2 linked regions of the Macaca fascicularis genome follow. The protein of the gene in region 2 interacts with the protein of the main gene of each other region in a pairwise test. Links are inferred from orthologs where the notes say so. Each region holds a gene or a part of one and is shown on either strand. Other genes may lie near its edges.

Evidence for each region.
Region 1: the proteins of NFYA (region 2) and GTF2A1 interact in binary tests that used the Homo sapiens proteins (3 or more experiments, as listed by UniProt). The two-hybrid records come from large-scale screens. The link is inferred for Macaca fascicularis from reciprocal best matches to the Homo sapiens genes NFYA and GTF2A1.

Annotation. Positions count from the first base shown.
Region 1 is NC_088381.1:149,170,862-149,174,361, reverse strand, and holds part of GTF2A1 (transcription initiation factor IIA subunit 1), read left to right. Parts: intron 1-237; coding exon 238-442; intron 443-1,511; exon of another isoform or gene 1,512-1,655; intron 1,656-2,670; coding exon 2,671-2,735; intron 2,736-3,500. UniProt on the Homo sapiens protein: TFIIA is a component of the transcription machinery of RNA polymerase II and plays an important role in transcriptional activation. TFIIA in a complex with TBP mediates transcriptional activity.
Region 2 is NC_088378.1:130,499,173-130,502,672, forward strand, and holds part of NFYA (nuclear transcription factor Y subunit alpha), read right to left. Parts: intron 2,292-3,500; coding exon 2,125-2,291; intron 918-2,124; coding exon 744-917; intron 1-743. UniProt on the Homo sapiens protein: Component of the sequence-specific heterotrimeric transcription factor (NF-Y) which specifically recognizes a 5'-CCAAT-3' box motif found in the promoters of its target genes.

The DNA.
Region 1 (3,500 bases), on a different chromosome or scaffold from region 2:
AGATAGAAAAAGAAACAAAATCTCCAGTACTCTGATGTGGCAAAAATGAGGTTTGATACTTTAAAATTTTGTTTTTGTTATTGTTTACACTTGGGTTAGAATTATAGATTTGTTGTATTTCTGTGTCTGTATCAGTTTTTAAAATGGAATAACTTTATAAAGAGATTAATAAAACTGTTGTGTTCGTCTGTCCAGAGTTATTTTTCACTTAGAAATCTTTAATGTTCTTTGCCTTAGTTATGGGAAAACAAACTAATGCAGTCCAGGGCAGTAGATGGATTTCATTCAGAAGAGCAGCAGCTTCTACTGCAAGTTCAACAGCAGCATCAACCCCAGCAGCAGCAGCATCACCACCATCACCACCATCAGCAAGCTCAGCCTCAGCAGACAGTACCTCAGCAAGCGCAGACCCAGCAGGTCCTTATTCCTGCATCACAGCAAGGTGAGACTGGATTTGTTTTCCTACTTATGACTTGGAATTAAGTTTGTCGTCATGAAAGAAGAGAAATATTCTACATTTCTTGGATCTTGTCTTTTAAGGGGCGCATGGAGAACCTAAAAATAAACAAACAAAAACCCCTATGTTGATTTTGGGCTTTTTTTCCACTTTCTCTTGGCTGAGGGGTGTGGGTGTATGTAAATGTATATAAATTTGTATAAAACGTAGGTTGTATCTGTAGAGTAATGGTAGACAAGTAATTTACTAATTGAAAGCCTAAGTTGTATTACTATTTAGTTTTGAAAAGGCTATGTAGTGATGGATTTCCTGAAATAAGTTAAACCTAAAAGGTTTATTTACTAAGGACTTTATTATTTTATATGGTAAAATAGTTATTTGCTTTCTCTATGAAACATGTTCTTTCAGAGACATGTTTCAGATTAGTTTTTAAAATATATCTTAAATTCTAGAGTTTTTTGTATACTTTGGCAATCTGAAAATTCAGTTCCATAGTAATTTATGTAAGCCTAAACGGACTGAATTAGATTTATTATAAGTTAAGCGTGGATATATAACATATCTTAATTTATATTTCTTGGATTAAAGCTAAGAAAAAGCAAATATTCGTAGACTGTGTCCATAGTGCTTTGTACTCTGCAAGTCATTTTATAGATACTGTTTCATTGGCACCTTATAAGGGCTTTGTAAAATAGCCCTTGGCTCAGTTTCACAGCTGAGGAAAATCTGAGCCCAGAAAACGCTAAGAAACTTGATCTGTATTTTCTCTCATGACACACGTCTATTCAGTTATAAAACTTTCTGAGCATTCTAATTCAGTGCATCTGCTTTTATGGGAGAGGACACTAGAAGTAGATGAAAAGTTCATTTTAATGTAATCATTTAGTTACTTATTTGCCTCATTTGACAGTATATATATGTGTCTCAAAATTGGTAATGATACACAGTAGAAGAGTCTATTTGGGTTATTTTACTGTTGACGTCTAGTGGTAGTTTTCATACCTAATTTTAGTGTATACTTTGTATCAAATAATTTTATCCCTTTATTATTTTTTGATGACTGTTCTTCCTGTTGCCTTCAGACCTGGCATTAGGATTTTAGGTCATCATAAATTAAAATTTGATTTTCTTCACTCAGAGAATATTAGGATAATGGAGTTATCCGTCTGTTCTCTGAAATTTGCGGAATCAAACATTTAATTCCTTTTATGCTTAAGTAACATTGCCATTATTTCTGATTTGTATTTTTTCCAACTTGGGCCCGTTCACCACTCTTCAGGCAACCTGGTGGTCCTCTGCTTTCAGGAGGCCACCATATTGATGCCGAACTTAGTTGGACACCCAATCAGCATAGCGCACTATAGCCCAAAACTCCTGGGCTCAAGCGATCCTCCCACCTCAGCCTTCTGAGTTGCTGGGACTACAGGCATGCATCCCTGCATCCGGCTGATTTGTATTTTTTAAACAGCCGATGAAAGTAGCATGAGTCTGTCAACTTTCATGTTGGAAGAAAAGGACTATGTAGGTTTCAAAAACTAGTCACAATTTTTTGAGCTTACTTTTATTGGATTAGTAACTCATTGCAACAGTGGTATCATTGTATCAGTAAAACAAAATTATGAGTTGAGTTAAGACAAAATTATGTTTGAAAATATCCAGTTTACTTAGGAATGCATAGAACTGTGTATGTGTGTATGTTTAGGTGTTAAGTAACTCACTACTTCATGTTCCTAAATGCCCTTGCATCCTTAGGAATTGTCACTTAAAAAATTTTTTTTTTTTTTGAGATGGAGCTTGTCACCCATGCTGGAGTGCAGTGGCATGATCTCGGCTCACTGCAACCTCCAGTTCCCGAGTTCAAGTGATTCTCATGCCTCAGCCTGACACCCAGCTAATTTTTTTGTATTTTTAGTAGAGACGGAGTTTCACCATGATATTGGCCAGTCTGGTCTCGAACTCCTGACCTCAAGTGATCCGCCCGCTTTGGCCTCCCAAAGCTTAAATATTTGTGTTTTCTAGTATAGGGTGGGTATATCACAGCTGTTATTTGCCGTATAAATTTATACTGTCCTGAGAGCAAATGATTGAAAGCATTTGAGTGCAGAAAACATGGAAAACATGAAAAAAGTTTTCATCATTGTATGTAAAATGTTCTTGTGATCAGAAAATAGCCTCATGGTTCCTTGTTTACATGTGTACTTGTTTTTTTGTAGCCACAGCACCACAAGTTATTGTTCCAGATTCTAAGTTGATACAGCATATGAATGCATCAAACATGGTAAGACTCAGAATGTAGCAGTTTGATTGGCTGTACTTAATTCTAACTCAAATTGTGATTATGCCTATATATGTCATATATTAACAACTTGAAGTTTATTGAAGACTCAGGCAGAACAGCTATTTTAGTTTAGTTTCCTGAATATTGGATCTGAAGTTTAGCTTGGTACCTAGACATTAAGGTTCATAAAATTATGGAATTGTTTAAGAATACTAAAAGAATGGTGCTTTGTGAGAGTTACTCCATTCCCTACTATGTCCGAAAAAGTTTATAATGCCAAACTTATAATGCCAAGTATGGTTCTGTTTCAGGAGACCTGGTAATTGCAAGAAGTTGGGAAGGCTAAGAATTGTTAACTTTTAAAAAATGAAGATGAACTGTTTGGATAGTTCAGTATAACTATTTTTAAAATCAAGCATTTAAAAATATTGCTTTGACTTAACCATAGTATAGTCTAATAAGTCATTATAGTGTGTAAATTACCAAAGAATACATTTTAACCAGTTGAGTTACATTAGAAGTTTTATATTTCTGAGGACTATCCACTAAACTTTACAAGTCCTCACTCATTTTCAAATTACATTTCAGACATATAATATTTCTCAACAAATATAGTATAGTTTAACTGTGAACTTGAAAGAACCTCTTCAGATCCTTAGAAAATCTTTACCTATATGCTTGAAGTTGTTTTCTTTTTTTTTTTTTTTTTTTTTTTGGATAAAACATTAAAATACAGTCAGAGTAGTTCAACACTTCCTTATAAAT
Region 2 (3,500 bases):
AAATTCTGGCTAGTGAAAGGTACACGACTTCTTGCAAGTTTCCTTGAAAGAAAGGGTACCTGGCCGGGTACGGTGGCTTACGCCTATAATCCCAGCACTTTGGGAGGCCGAGGCAGGTGGATCACTGGAGGTCAGGAGTTCGAGACCAGTCTGGCCAATATGGTGAAACCCCACCTCTACTAAAAATACAAAAATAAGCTATGTGTGGTGGCGCGCACCTGTAATCCCAGCTACTCAGGAGGCTGAGGCAGGATAATCACTTGAACCTGGAAGGGAGGTTGCAGTCAGCTGAGATTGTGCCACCGTGCTCCGGCCTGGGTGACAGAGCAAGCTTCAGTCTCAGAAAAAAAAAAAAAAGAAAGAAAGGATACCTTTCTTATTCCCTTTCTTCCTAGGCTGGAGTCTAAGCAGGAATCTTGGACTATGAACAGCACACTAGCAATATTAAAGCAGTGAAACAGGTCTTGAGAACTGTGAAAATGTGCTGCCAGTCCAAGATAATTTATCTCTGGACTACTTTTATGCATGAAAAAGAGTAACATCTTATTTAAGCCACTGTTTGTTTTCGTTGTTATAACTGCAGCTGCATACAGTAATAACAAATGCTAACTCTTACAAAAGAGATAAGTATCTAACGTCAATTTTTTGGAAGGTACATGAGAAAACAAGCCATATAAAAGATAATTTCAAAAGTAGAACCCTGCTATTCTCCTCTCCTATATCCTTCCCAATGTTATACATACCCTTCTTTCCTTTGGAATTTTCCCTTCTGCCTCTAGTTTAGCCCGGGCTTGCCTCCTCTTAAGAATACGGTGGTATTGTTTGGCATTCACGTAGAGAGGCTCTTCTTCAAGCATCTCTGCTCCAGGTAGAGGGATTCTTTGGATAGCAGGCACAGAGCCAGCCCCAGGAACCATCTGTGTGAACAGGAAACCAGAGCTTATTGGTGGCATGAAGTATGGACATAGAGTTTCTTGGTTTCTCTTCATCCATTTTTTTCTAAATGCCACAAAAAGTAATTTGTATAGGGTACTTGGGTAAATGCAGATCCCTGGAGAAATTTAAGATCTGTACATTAAACAAACACCCCAGATAACTGTGTCATAGGAGGTTCAGGTGCCACTCTGAGAAACTATATAAGCACGCCCTAATTCATGTCTACCCATGGCTGTAGATATTTCTGCTGCCATCTAATGGTCAGGAACAGTAGTCATAAGACAAAAAAACAGCACAAAAATAGATGAGACCAAGTGCTACTAAATGCCTATATTTATAAAAATAATTTAATAGTTAACTTATAGTTCAATCCTAATTTTTCTTAAAAAACACCAAAACACTGTACTAAATGTGAAAACAAGTAACAGAGTCCTGTACCCCACAGCTCTTTCCCAGATACAACTGCTTTGAATAACTATATTAATCTTTTATAAAAATTATTTATTTATCATTTAGTTCGTAGAAACAAGGTCTCGTATGTTGCCGAGGCTGAGCTCAAACTCCTGGACTTAAGCCATCCTCCTGGATTAGCCTCCCGAGTAGCTAGGACTACAGGTGCATGCCACTGAGCCAGGCTTGCTTCTGTTTCTTTTCATAGCTTCCTCCACCTCTGTGCAGACTTCTGTTACTCATTCTTAATCTATGCATTTTAACATCCTATTTTGACATATGAGGATTTAGCTTTCACTCACACCACCCAAGTCTTCCTATCTTCCCAATACATTTATATCATACTTTTTTTTTTTTGGTTTCTCTATCAATTACAATCTTTCTAATTTTTAGCTTATTTCTTATTTCGTCCATCATGGGCAATACTACTTTCCACTTCTCAAAGATTAATATATTATTCCCTTCATTATTTGAATTCTGAAAAGAATTGCATAAAATCATTATTTATCCATTGCTTGATCTCCAGCATCTAGAATAGTCCCTGGTGAATAGTCCCTGGCACACAGTAGGTGCCCAGAATGAATTATGGTTTGTCATAATGTTATTGTAAAAGTAGATTACTGACTGCCTTAAGGATCGATCTCAATCCCAAGAGGTCAACATAATAAATTTTAGGAGGCATCAAGTTGCATGTTCAAGAAAATTTCGAAGACAAAGCTGAAAAATACATTTTCTTACCATGACCATCCCTCCTGAATTGACCACATTGCCTGCCACTGGTAGTGTCACAGTGACAGTCCCTTGCCCACTGCTGGTTGTGTTGGTATTGGCTCCTGTCTGAACAATCTGTGCTCCTGCCAAACTGGCTGCTGGGATAGTGATCATGCCTGAAACAGGGACTGTAACTTTAAGAAAACAAAACATAAAACAAACAAAAAACAGGCACACAGAACAGAAAGAAGGGAACATAGTTAGTCCCTCTTCTATCTGGCACACACTCACTGATCCTGGCAAAACACACTGAAAAACACAAGGGGAGAAAAAGCACTCTCCCACTCTGGTGTGCTATATATAATCCAAGTAATCACAATCTTTGAAATTCTATTAACTCTCTAGGTCCCAGTTTTGAGTAACTCTATCCTTAGCAGTTTTCAAAAGGTGAAAAGGTTTGGTGGTCTCTTCTTCTACAGGTCAGTCTGACTATAGCTGTACCTACTGCTCTTGTACATATGAGCAATCTGCTTCAGGACAGAGATTTTAAAACTTATACTTTGTTTATCTCAAACTGACAATGAGTCAGTTGTAGTATTAAAACTTAAAATTAAACCAAACATTCCAAGTCCCCAGACTATCAACAGCAGCACTTCAGGATTTGTTCACCATTCTGTTTGAGCTCTTGCCTGGGCTCAATCCAGTTCAGGGCCTCCCCCGAGTAATACAAGAGCACACAGTGCACTCTCTGGATCTTGTATATTGCAAATTTTCAATCACCAAGTCATGGAATCTAACAAAGATGTCCTTTTTTGATTTAACTATTTGACTAACAAGTGCTTCCAAAAGTCTTCAAGTTCAGTTTGTGCACTCCTCCTCCCAGACCAAACAGATCTCTCTATTATTTATGTTATCTATTCCTAGAACATACTTCCATGAGGGCCCTGCATTGTATTTATTTGTTCACATGTCTCTCTTACTAGACTAGAGGCTCTTTGAGAACTCTTCTAAGTAAAAGTGCTGTATACGTAATAGTCATTTAAAGTAATGGAGTGACCCAGAAAAAAACATAAGCAGCAACAGCACTCTAAAGTCAACTTGATTTTTGATCTATTTCTCTCTTTCCCAATAAACTCCCTATTTCTAATCTTCTGTTTAGAAACACTTCTTCCCTAAAAGCTTACACAATCCCTAGATTAGCAACCACTGTAGAAACTGCTACACATGGAATCACTGTTGGTCATGGATGGTGACAAGAAACCAACAATCAATGGAGAGCTAGAGGAAATCTTTTTTTTTTTTTTGTCCAAAAAATATGCAGTGTCAAGTTCACCACTCAAATTCTAAAGGTATCAGTTGCCTAAAGGACAAAAAAGTTGCCCCAAGAAGTCCTAGGGAAACTT